Arabidopsis thaliana: one gene and its partners. The protein of the gene in region 2 interacts with the protein of the main gene of each other region in a pairwise test. Each region holds a gene or a part of one and is shown on either strand. Other genes may lie near its edges.

The links. Proteins that work in one complex are often made in the same cells at the same time.
Region 1: the proteins of AT2G31220 (region 2) and AT1G10610 interact in binary tests that used the Arabidopsis thaliana proteins (3 or more experiments, as listed by UniProt).
Region 3: the proteins of AT2G31220 (region 2) and DYT1 interact in a two-hybrid assay, tested with the Arabidopsis thaliana proteins (one study listed by BioGRID).

Annotation. Positions count from the first base shown.
Region 1 is NC_003070.9:3,504,648-3,509,562, forward strand, and holds AT1G10610 (basic helix-loop-helix (bHLH) DNA-binding superfamily protein), read left to right. Parts: upstream 1-1,538; 5' UTR 1,539-1,815; coding exon 1,816-1,925; intron 1,926-2,231; exon of another isoform or gene 2,232-2,384; coding exon 2,385-2,582; intron 2,583-2,661; coding exon 2,662-2,725; intron 2,726-2,802; coding exon 2,803-2,871; intron 2,872-2,951; coding exon 2,952-3,386; intron 3,387-3,489; coding exon 3,490-3,690; intron 3,691-3,768; coding exon 3,769-3,945; intron 3,946-4,033; coding exon 4,034-4,105; 3' UTR 4,106-4,353; downstream 4,354-4,915. Other genes in the region: AMSH2 (associated molecule with the SH3 domain of STAM 2), read left to right, coding at 90-152, 235-287, 369-543; PERK11 (Protein kinase superfamily protein), read right to left, coding at 4,354-4,596, 4,694-4,855.
Region 2 is NC_003071.7:13,300,680-13,305,396, forward strand, and holds AT2G31220 (basic helix-loop-helix (bHLH) DNA-binding superfamily protein), read left to right. Parts: upstream 1-1,986; 5' UTR 1,987-2,073; intron 2,074-2,294; 5' UTR 2,295-2,334; coding exon 2,335-2,341; intron 2,342-2,393; exon of another isoform or gene 2,394-2,436; coding exon 2,437-3,254; intron 3,255-3,348; coding exon 3,349-3,798; intron 3,799-3,880; coding exon 3,881-3,982; 3' UTR 3,983-4,190; downstream 4,191-4,717.
Region 3 is NC_003075.7:11,347,969-11,351,250, forward strand, and holds DYT1 (basic helix-loop-helix (bHLH) DNA-binding superfamily protein), read left to right. Parts: upstream 1-1,953; coding exon 1,954-2,133; intron 2,134-2,207; coding exon 2,208-2,405; intron 2,406-2,480; coding exon 2,481-2,726; downstream 2,727-3,282. UniProt on the Arabidopsis thaliana protein: Transcription factor. Involved in the control of tapetum development. Required for male fertility and pollen differentiation, especially during callose deposition.

The DNA of each region.
Region 1 (4,915 bases), on a different chromosome or scaffold from region 2:
ATCTCTCTCTTCTAGCTCCCTCCATGTTTAGTGATCTGTTTATCTACTTTGTCTTGACTTACTATAACGAGGTTATGCATATTTTCCAGACTCATCCTTCTCAGGGTTGTTTCATGTCATCTGTAGATCTGCATACACATTATTCGTATCAGGTACATCTCTGCTGTTTCCAAATTGCATATATACTAGGTTTGAGACAATTCTGATCTCAGTTTCCCATCATGTCATTCTTAGGTAATGGTGCCAGAGGCTTTTGCAATCGTCGTAGCTCCAACTGATAGCTCTAAGTATGTTCTTCCAAAGCTATGGAGTCAATTATACAGTCAACATATTTCCTTGATAGACTCTCAAACTGATCTTTTTGGCAGGAGTTACGGGATATTTAAGCTAACGGACCCTGGAGGAATGGAGGTACTGAGAGGCTGCTCAGAGACTGGATTCCACCCGCACAAAGAACCAGAAGATGGGAACCCAGTTTATGAGCATTGCTCAAACGTCTACAAGAACTCGAACCTTAGGTTCGAGATTTTTGATCTACGTTAAGGTAACGACTTCTGTGGACTTATCAGTAAAAAGGTTCAAACTTTATCCACTGTGGGCTAAGGATGTCAATAATAACCGTCATCATAACCACCACCCTAACCAGAACTGTATACTTGGTCTGAGAAGGCTGTCTGATTCGGGTTATGAACACAAGGTACCTTCTATTAAGCTTAGCAATGTTAATAAATTGTCATGTCCTTAGATTTGGATCAATTGGTTCCATTATGGAAGAACAACAATGACCATAGACATAAGACATTGTATTGGCGTATGCAATTGTTATATATCTGTACAAATGTATACATTGGCATCTATTTCTCCATATAACACTACATTAATATTATCACCATATTTCGCCATTTTATACCTCTTAACTTGCCAGTGATGACTGATGAAAATGGTTGAGCTTTTAAAAAGGACGGGAAAATTTTAAACTTGAGCTTTGACTTGTTAAAAAATTATTCATTTTGACAGTTTTCGTCTGATTCAAGTTTCATTCTTTTCATTTCTCATTTGATTGATTAATTAGATACAAAATAGCCATAAATTAGCTGTAATAATAATTTAAAAGGTATCTTTGAGCTCTTTTTTGGTAAAGACATATTCCAAATACCTCTCTTCACATGAAACAAGAGTACAAACCCCAAAAACAGAACCAAAGGTCCAAACTTTTCTTTTGAAAGTAATAAAGCTATCAAAGCTCTTTCCTTGTTAAAGTAAATAGTACAGAGGATGGGTTTTATCAGAAAAAAAAAAGCTAGCTCATTTCATATTGTTGAGTGTTGCTATCAAAACCCATACAGATACAGTACTTTGTTTTGCTTCAAATCCCTTTATGGCCGTTTTCAAGCACATGATAGCTTTCTTCGTACAGTCAAGAGTAAAACCTCTCTTTTTCTTACCCTATCTTCTCTCTCTACAGATGTCACAGTCACCTCTGTCACGGATTTGGGTACAGAGACTCGCAGACGATTCACTCTTCTTTCTTTCTCTCTCTCTGGGTTTTAATTCAAAAAGTGAAGTTGGTTACCATTGTCTTGTACGATCGTATATTCCCGATATGATTTGTTTTGACAGAGCAACTGCTTTGTATATATATGCCAAATATCTCTCTCTCTCTCCCTCTCTCCTTGCATCAATTTATAAGTAAGACCAAAAGAGATCACCAAAACTCAGGCTTCTTGTTTGGCTTTTCTTATTGTTGATTGAGAGAGTGAGAGTAAGAGAGAGAGAGAGAGAGAGAGAGTGAGAGAGAGAGAGAGAGAGAGTGAGATGATGATGATGAGAGGTGGTGAGAGAGTGAAGGAGTTTCTTCGACCCTTTGTCGATTCCAGAACTTGGGACTTATGTGTTATCTGGAAACTCGGTGATGATCCTTCTAGGTTCAACACACTCTCCGGTTTTTCTTTGTTATTTGTTCGTTGTTCATGTGAATCATCATCAGCTGTCTACTATTTTGTTTCAGTAGCAAAGCTTCCGTTTTTATGTATACTGATGGGTTTTTCGTGTTTGTCTTTTATCTTTGCTTTCTGAATTAGGACTTTTTTTTTTGTTTTTGCTCTGTTATTGGCTTCCTGAAACTATTTTGTTTCAGTAGCAAAGTTTCCATTTTTTTGATTTTGATTAGTCCTTAGTAACTTCTGGCTCTGTTCTATCAAATTTCTCTGGTTTCTGTTTTTTTTTTTTTTTGCTCATCTGGTTTTTGATTTTAATGGTTTATGGTTTGTTTTGCTTTACCATCTACCTCCTGTTCTTGGTTTTGTCTTGTCTAGTTTTACTAAAAGTTTGTGGGTTTTATGATCTTCATCTCGTAATTGGTATGAATTCCATTTAAACTACAGGTTTATTGAATGGGTGGGATGCTGCTGCAGTGGTTGTTATATTGATAAGAATATAAAGCTTGAAAACTCAGAAGAAGGAGGAACTGGGAGAAAAAAGAAGGCTTCTTTCTGTAGAGATGACCACAACAAGCATCGTATAAGAACCTTAGCTTGTGAAGCGCTTTCTCGTTTTCCTCTCTTCATGCCTCTCTATCCCGGGTATGTTTCCATCTATTCAACCCCCTTTCAAGTTAATTTTTTCTTCAAGAATAATATGAAGCTTCTTTCTCAATTGCAGGATTCATGGAGAAGTAGTGATGTCAAAATCTCCAAAGTGGTTGGTTAATTCAGGATCTAAAATGGTAAAAAAGACTCTTTTCGTCAGCCTTTTTTACTCGTTTGATCATAAGAACAATCTGATCTCCATGTGTTTTGGCAGGAAATGTTCAGCACTCGTGTTCTTGTTCCTGTGAGTGATGGTCTCGTTGAGCTGTTCGCTTTCGATATGGTAAAAACATGTTAGCATTTCGCATAGAAAGTCTGTCATTGGTTTTGGTGGTTACTTCATAAAATGTTGGTCTGTATCAGAGACCGTTTGATGAAAGCATGGTGCATTTGATCATGTCGCGTTGTACCACCTTCTTTGAACCATTCCCTGAACAAAGGCTGCAGTTCAGGATCATTCCCCGAGCAGAGGAATCTATGAGTAGCGGTGTGAATCTCAGCGTTGAGGGCGGCGGATCATCAAGTGTTTCCAATCCCTCCAGTGAAACTCAGAATCTTTTCGGCAATTACCCGAATGCTAGTTGTGTGGAAATTCTCAGGGAGGAACAAACACCGTGTTTGATAATGAACAAGGAAAAGGATGTTGTGGTGCAAAATGCCAACGATTCCAAAGCTAATAAGAAGCTGCTTCCTACGGAAAACTTCAAATCAAAGAACCTTCATTCAGAGAGGAAAAGAAGAGAGAGAATTAATCAGGCCATGTATGGTCTAAGAGCCGTAGTCCCTAAAATCACAAAGGTTTCTTCTGAAACTCAATGCAGTTTCTGGATCACTCTTCTTGTGGTCAATGTAGCACTTTCCATAGGATTATTATATTTATCTTTCTTTGTGCTATATGCAGTTGAACAAAATTGGAATTTTCAGTGATGCTGTTGATTACATCAATGAACTGCTAGTGGAGAAGCAGAAACTTGAAGATGAGCTTAAAGGAATCAATGAGATGGAATGCAAAGAAATCGCTGCAGAGGAACAATCTGCAATAGCTGATCCAGAAGCTGAAAGAGTTTCCTCTAAAAGCAACAAGAGAGTGAAGAAAAACGAGGTATTATTCGAATATATAGACCTTCAAGATAATCTATATCTGAGTTGTAAAATCCCACAAACTCTGGTTTCTTTTCAGGTGAAAATTGAAGTCCACGAGACTGGTGAGCGAGATTTCTTGATTCGGGTTGTGCAGGAACATAAACAAGATGGATTCAAGAGGTTGATAGAAGCTGTAGATTTATGTGAACTTGAGATCATTGACGTCAATTTCACCAGACTCGATCTCACAGTCATGACCGTTCTCAATGTCAAGGTAGTAACGTAATCACATCTCATTGCCCCTGCACGTAATCTCAGATTCTTGAATTCTGATAAACAGTTTTGGATTTATTCATTCTTAGGCGAACAAAGACGGGATTGCATGTGGAATATTGAGAGATTTACTGCTCAAGATGATGATAACTTCAATATGAAAACTCAGTAAAACAGAGTACATAACCTCAAAAGGTCAAATGTTTTGTTTGCTTCAGTCACAAGTTACTGCTAGAGATATGATTTCTCACAAGCTTTTAGGTGACAGTTTACATGTTTGAAACTATACATTCTTCTGGTTTGTCATTGGGTTTTCATTAAGATCTTTCACAAATATAATTCTAAAGGGTCGTCGTCCCTAAGAACTAAGAAAAACAAAACACAACAACTTGAGTTTAATTTATTGGTTTCAATGGTTCCGGTGACTTGTGTTGAAGGCTCGGCTCTCAGATTCATATTCATGGCTAGTGGCGTAGTCTTGGCTAGGGTAGTAGCCAGTATTAGTACCAAGATCCGAGGAATCTTCAGAGGCTCGTCTGAAAATTCGAATCTCATTACTGTATTGACCGGAGTCGTAGACCCTACTTTGACCCACTTTAACTCCGTTTGTCAGATCCGACAAGTCATCTCTCGTGTCCAGAGCTCTAACAACCTGCAAAAAGAGAAACACTCTTGATCAATCAGATGGTTTGTTTCTTTTTCTAGCTGTATATTATTAGGTCAAGTCAAGAAGTGTTTCTATTTCTGACCTGAACCATACGAGGTCGTTTTAAAGCGGAATGTCTAACACAAGACGCTGCCGTTTCAATCATTTTATAGACTTCACTTTCGACGTAATCATTCTCTAGCCGTGGATCCACTACTTCGCTGATGTCACCTTTTTCAATGGCCTCGATTAGCCTTGGACGTGCCTGCCAAAAAACCAACAAATATTCAACCCTCATGAGATTTTTTCATTTATATTGAAAACA
Region 2 (4,717 bases):
GAATAGACTTGTCTATTGTTAGAGATATTGTGACGTGTGTTTTAGACCGGTTAAGTCGGGTTTGTAGACCGATAATTTTTAGAGAAGTGCAGGCCCTGTTAAACTAATATCAATTTCTATGAAATATCTGTAGTGCAACCGTCAAATAAAATAAAAATGATACGATTCATTACCTAAATGAATCCAACCCAACCCCTTTTCTGAAACTATTGGCTATGTATGGACCGAATCAAGCGGCACTACATTTTTAATATATCAAAAACCAAATCGTTGGTTTGGTCCGGCAATACATTTTAACATTTTCTGAGTAATCAGAGTTTGTACTGTTTAGTTAGGATGGGGACAGTCGCAGTGTACCGTGTACGAGAGAGGTAGGTGACCAGAATTTTTTCAGTTTCTGTCGAATTTCAAGAATAACCCTAATTCTTTTTTTTACTAAATCAAATATAAAGTATATTATTATCCCATTCTTGGATGTGGGACCTACTTCCACTACTTCTCAAACAACCCGCTCTCTTTGCTATAAACAGAAATCGCATGACCCAACCGCTCAACAAGGAAACTTATACAATTAGTTTGATCCAAAATTGTTATTTATTTAGAAAAATTTAATAGAAAAGATTGAAATATAAACATATATGAATGAAATGAATTATTTATATTCAATACAGTCCATGTTATTTTTTTACCAGATTCTCTATTATACATCTCTTCAAGTATCTAAATATTTTTCTTATGGATGAATTTTTATTTTATCATTTTATGTTATCGATTATACACAAAGAAAGGAAGTGTTAAATTAGATTAATTAAGTGAGTTGTCGATATACATTACAGGAAGTGTTTGAGATAGAAACTATTCTATGATGGTTTAGTTGTTGAACACAGTTTACTTATAAAATTAGAAAACCCAGGGGTTTAAGTATTTATACTTCTATTTAACTATGATATACATACATAAGTTTTATCAATGCCATGTACAACGTATAGATGAATCAAACTAGATGATGTGATAAATAATTCCATGATTGTTGATGATAAGGTAGTTAATCATCCATAAATTAAAACTGAACACTTTTTATATACAAAACATATCCATTTAAACCGTGCATTAGTATTTTTGGTTCTTGTATTAAGTCGAAGAGTTTTTTCAATTCGAGTATATAATAAAATACGATTGCATAAACATAACACATATTAAACATGAGATTAATTATAGAAGTAAAACATACATCTAAGACAAGAAAATAGTTTCGCGTTAAAATACTTTTATCAATTACAATTTTGTATTTGGGATATTTTTATCCAAATTTTACTAAAATGAAAGGAAAAGGGTAGAAATGGGAAAGAGCAAACGGGGCTACTTGGTTTGTCGGTGTGAGTTAGTGGAGCCCATATCATATTGGTCAGAGAGAAGATCGTATTTGCTGATAATGACGGAAATACCCCTAAAGTCGTTGAAAAGACCTGAGAGATTCGGCAAGGGACCCATCTGTTGATTCTTCTAACCAACCTTTATGTTTGGCCACAATGATAAATCACATGCTCCAACCAAAACAGCCCCCAAAAAAAACCCAATTTATATTTTCTTAAAAGTGAGCTTATAACGTAAAAGAAATATATACAATGCTAATTTTCTTACAACTGGTTAAGTGTTAAAAGATATGTTTAGGATCATATTGGTATTTGGTAATCAGGTTTCAACATTTGAAATGATTAATCAAAAAATAAGTTGCATAGAAAATGATTTAAAAAATGACTATAAACAAGAAGTAATTTCACAAACCATGTAACAAATCAAAACCTTAATAAATCATGCATCAAAGTTGGATTAGAAACATAGCTTAATGGATTATATACAACATTTTCGTTTAAATTAGACACCTAGAATATACATGTTATCCAATAATTTAACTTTGCCATCTTTTTACCCTTATTGTATTGTGTGTCTCCATCTACAAATGTCCGTATATTTCAAACACAGAGAGGGAGAGAGAGACTCTTGTTTAAAAAACTTACTTCTTCTCCTGAAAATTGAGAAGACAGACGTAGAGAAGAATTAATTGTAACAAAGGTTCTAATTTTCCCAGCTCTGATTACTCATTATCTTACATCTCTTTCTATCTATTGTCAAATTCAAACCCTTAACCCAATGTTTAATCTTTTGGATCCTAACAAACATTTCTATGGTTTCGTTTCCAAAATTATAAAAGAGCTAACTTTTTTTGAAATTAGTTTCAAATTTTTGGTTTTTCTTCTTCTTAAAGATTGTTGAATGTTACTTTTGATTTGCAGGTGTTAAAGAATCATCTAGAGTACTCGTTGAACCATTTCCATGGAAGGTAACAAAATTTCATTATTTGGTCTAATTTCTCATGAAAGTTGCTACCTTTTTCGTTCTGGAAGATCTAAATTAGTGTTTGAGTTACAAACGCAGAAGAAAGAGAAAGCCTTTACGAGGAAATGGGTTGTTTCGATCCCAACACTCCAGCAGAAGTTACGGTGGAGAGTAGCTTCTCTCAAGCCGAACCACCACCACCACCACCGCAAGTTCTGGTTGCCGGAAGCACAAGCAACAGCAACTGCAGTGTTGAGGTAGAAGAGCTCTCTGAATTCCATCTCAGCCCACAAGATTGTCCTCAAGCTTCTTCAACACCTCTCCAGTTTCACATCAATCCTCCTCCTCCACCACCTCCTCCTTGTGATCAACTCCACAACAATTTGATTCACCAAATGGCTTCACATCAACAACAACACTCTAATTGGGATAATGGGTATCAGGATTTTGTGAATTTGGGACCTAACTCTGCAACAACTCCTGATTTGCTTAGTCTCTTACACTTGCCTAGATGCTCATTGCCTCCTAATCATCATCCTTCCTCTATGCTACCTACCTCTTTCTCAGACATTATGTCTTCTTCTTCTGCTGCTGCTGTTATGTACGACCCTCTCTTCCATTTGAATTTCCCTATGCAGCCTAGAGATCAGAACCAGCTAAGAAACGGCTCTTGTTTACTTGGAGTTGAAGATCAAATTCAGATGGATGCTAATGGAGGAATGAATGTTTTGTACTTTGAAGGAGCAAACAACAACAATGGTGGATTTGAGAATGAGATTCTTGAGTTTAACAATGGAGTTACTCGTAAAGGAAGAGGATCAAGAAAGTCGAGAACTTCCCCTACAGAACGTGAGAGACGAGTTCACTTCAATGATCGTTTCTTCGACTTAAAGAACCTCATTCCAAATCCCACAAAGGTATATACTTTACTTTGCTTTGATTTCAATTCATGTTGTTAATGTGTATGAGGAGACTATGAAATGAGAGACATTGTTGGTTTAATCTCTGTAGATTGATAGAGCATCGATAGTTGGAGAGGCGATAGATTACATCAAAGAGCTTTTAAGGACAATAGAGGAGTTTAAGATGCTTGTGGAGAAGAAGAGATGTGGGAGATTCAGGAGCAAGAAGAGAGCTAGAGTTGGTGAAGGAGGAGGAGGAGAAGATCAAGAAGAAGAAGAAGACACTGTGAATTACAAGCCACAGAGCGAAGTAGACCAGTCTTGCTTCAACAAGAACAACAACAACTCACTGAGATGTTCATGGCTTAAGAGGAAATCGAAAGTCACTGAGGTCGATGTACGTATAATCGATGATGAAGTAACCATCAAGCTTGTTCAGAAGAAGAAGATTAACTGTTTGTTGTTCACCACCAAAGTTCTTGATCAGCTTCAGCTAGATCTTCACCATGTTGCAGGTGGACAGATTGGTGAACATTACAGCTTCTTGTTCAACACTAAGGTAATGAAAATGTCTCACTAATATAGTTCTGTTATTAACTCCAAACCAATAAACTAATCTTTTTCAATTTGGTTTGAGGCAGATTTGTGAAGGATCTTGTGTGTATGCAAGTGGAATTGCAGACACATTGATGGAGGTCGTGGAGAAGCAGTACATGGAAGCTGTTCCTAGCAACGGCTACTAGATTCCAGACACACTTATGGAGTAGTTTATTGCTTTTTAATAACTTTTGTGATACCCCTCTAATGACTGATTAAGTTATTAATCACTTTGGTAATTTTCAAGTTTATTTAGCTAGAGTTAAAGTTAGAGCTAGAGCTGAGGCTCTTTGTCTGGATTTTGTCTAACTCTATATATTTCTTCTAGCTTTATCGGTTTCGTTTTTCGACCACATTTTAATCTCTTGCGTTTTTTTTTTTAACAAATGCTCTTGCTCATATTTACCTTACGTTTCATATTGCTCTTAATGGGCCAGTGGGCCGTGTCGTTTGAAAAGTTTGAGAATAATCATCAGTCCGGAATTTATAAACCATTGCTTCTTTATCGATTCTGGTTTTCTAACTAGAAATTAAGAAACTTGCTTACATTTTCAGTGGTTCTTTTTACAATGAGCCAATTTTAATCTGGTTCTTTTTACGATTTTTCATTTACCGTTGAATTACGTGTTTAAGCTTTTATTTAATAATGTGTACTATCAATTAGGCTTTGACAAAACAAAAAATGTACTATCAATTAGTGAATGTTAATTTGTTTTAGATCTAAAACAAAAAAACAAGGATGTGATTTTGTCTCAACGCTCTTGTCTTTGCTCGTTGTCTGTCACCCTTTTTGCTTATTCCCTATTTCGAACACGTTCATGTGTATTTTTTTGTTTTGAAGTCTATTTTCACATTTAAAATAAAGTATGTCTGTGAAAAGC
Region 3 (3,282 bases), on a different chromosome or scaffold from region 2:
GATGAAGGGCATTCCGGTTATAGCTGGTGCCTCTAATACAGGCCCCGAAGCTTACACTGTGGCTAATGTATTCCCATGGATGCTCACAGTCGCTGCAACTAACATAGACCGTACCTTTTATGCAGACATGACTTTTGGAAATAACATTACCATAATTGTATGTGAAATGTTTTTTCAGGTCTTTTCACCATCGGGTTTCACTAGTCTTGGAAACTTACTCTTTTCCCTTAAAAACTGTTTCAGGGTCAAGCTCAATATACAGGTAAGGAAGTATCTGCTGGTTTAGTTTACATTGAACACTATAAAACCGACACCTCTAGCATGCTGGGAAAAGTTGTCCTGACGTTTGTGAAAGAAGATTGGGAAATGGCAAGCGCATTGGCGACTACAACTATCAACAAGGCGGCGGGGCTGATCGTGGCACGAAGTGGTGATTATCAAAGTGATATTGTCTATAATCAACCATTCATCTACGTAGACTATGAAGTCGGAGCTAAGATTCTACGATACATCCGCTCGTCAAGGTATACTATCCTTTATTTTATATTTTTTGTGATTGATCATCCTTCCGAGTCACATAGAGTATGTAAAACTGATCATCTTCTTATGGCTTGCGGTCTCTTCAGTTCTCCCACGATTAAAATTAGTACTGGTAAAACGCTCGTAGGACGTCCTATTGCGACTCAAGTTTGCGGATTCTCATCTAGAGGGCCTAATGGACTCTCTCCTGCCATTCTCAAGGTTCTTTCCCTAAACAGTGTTTCAAAATCTTGTCTGTCGTTTCCAATTTAAGGATCACCTGTTAATGATGGAAATTTCTTTGGGTTTATAAATGATGCAGCCTGATATAGCAGCCCCTGGTGTGACGATTTTAGGAGCTACATCTCAAGCCTACCCCGATTCTTTCGGCGGTTATTTTCTAGGCACAGGGACATCCTATGCCACTCCCGTTGTTGCGGGGCTCGTCGTACTACTCAAAGCTTTACACCCTGACTGGTCTCCTGCTGCGCTAAAATCTGCTATTATGACTACAGGTTCTTGAAAATGGAAAACCACTTTCTTCTCCTCACCAGAAAACCACCATTCGTTAATTTAATCTTACCAGAGTTTCTTCTCTTGTTATTATAGCATGGAAGACTGATCCATCCGGGGAACCAATCTTTGCGGAGGGAGAACCACGGAAACTGGCTGATCCATTTGACTACGGTGCAGGACTCGTGAACGCGGAAAGAGCCAAAGATCCAGGACTAGTTTATGACATGAACATCGACGATTACATTCACTATTTCTGCGCCACTGGTTACAACGATACATCAATCACTATAATCACGGGAAAACCCACAAAATGCTCGTCTCCATTACCGTCTATCCTCGATCTTAACTATCCCGCCATCACGATTCCCGACCTTGAAGAAGAAGTGACCGTCACAAGAACGGTGACTAACGTTGGACCTGTGGACTCAGTTTACAGAGCCGTGGTCGAGCCTCCGCGAGGTGTGGAGATTGTTGTTGAACCAGAGACTCTAGTGTTCTGTTCGAACACGAAGAAACTTGGGTTTAAAGTTAGGGTTTCGTCGAGTCATAAGAGTAACACTGGTTTTTTCTTTGGTAGTTTCACTTGGACTGATGGGACTCGAAATGTTACCATTCCTTTGTCTGTAAGGATTCGTGTTTTGAACCCTTGAATAAGAAGATTCCTCAATTCGTCATAAATTGTTTTTTCTCTCTATAATGAAAACAAAAATTGTTATTTTAGTCTCTGTATTTGACTCTAACTGAAATCACATTCACTTAATAACAAACTGAGACTAAGATTCTCTCTTTTATTCTCTCTCCACTAACAGACTTCTATCTACATGAGAAGCAACTATATAACTCATGTCTTTTACCACCATTACATAAATAAGAATATAAACACTTTTGTCTGAAAAATTATCAAAGAAGAAGAAATAAATGGGTGGAGGAAGCAGATTTCAAGAACCAGTGAGGATGAGCCGTAGGAAACAAGTAACAAAAGAGAAGGAAGAAGATGAAAACTTCAAATCTCCAAATCTTGAAGCAGAGAGACGTAGAAGAGAGAAGCTTCATTGTCGGCTTATGGCTCTGCGATCTCATGTCCCCATTGTCACCAACGTAAGTCCCAAATCTCGATTATTATTTTATGGGTATTTTGGTGATGATTGTTGTTGTTTTTGTTTCGTTTTCAGATGACTAAAGCAAGTATTGTTGAAGATGCGATTACTTACATAGGAGAGCTTCAAAACAATGTTAAGAATCTCTTAGAGACATTTCATGAAATGGAAGAAGCTCCTCCTGAGATTGATGAAGAACAAACGGATCCAATGATAAAACCTGAAGTTGAAACTAGTGATCTTAACGAAGAGATGAAGAAACTCGGAATCGAGGTTTTTAAAATTTCTCTAATCGATTTTTGATTCATTTTCTTTATCTTTCTTGATGATTTTTTATTTTTGGGACAGGAGAATGTGCAATTGTGTAAGATTGGGGAGAGGAAGTTTTGGTTAAAGATCATAACAGAGAAGAGAGATGGGATCTTTACTAAATTCATGGAGGTTATGAGATTTCTCGGATTCGAGATTATCGATATTAGTCTAACAACTTCAAATGGAGCAATTCTTATTAGTGCCTCTGTTCAGACACAGGAACTCTGTGATGTTGAACAGACAAAAGATTTTCTTTTGGAAGTTATGAGAAGCAATCCATAAGTATTAATTATATACATCTTGGAAATTTCTTGATCTAATAACATTTCCATTGGTTTTTATTACATTGTTGTTCCATTTTAAATATGATATGATTCAGATGAAAAAGAGTTTGTGTTACAAGCCAATGAGCTTCTTCTTGTCTTCATATATGTTGCTGCAAAATGTTCATGATCCTCTGTTTGAGGTCAAAGAAAGAAAACACTAGATATTATCTCTAGGATCCGAGCAATGGGGGTTTCTTTTTAAAATGGGCTTAGAATGAATTAGCTCTTAAATGGGCCATTCTCAAGTTGAGCCCATTTAATTTCAACCATCCAAATGGTGAGTAGTGAATAGTGATGTTCATTTGTGTAAGGTTGGAAGTTGGTAGAAACCTAAGTTTTTTTATTCAAATATCAAAACTATTCAATAGAGCCAAAATCAAAAGACATTTTCCTAACCTATTAACTATTTTTTTATAAAAATAATAATATACCTTTATCATCTCTGACTTTCCCTACTCCACGACATATTTGATTAACAATATAAAATAATTTATAGTTTCCACTCTCAATGA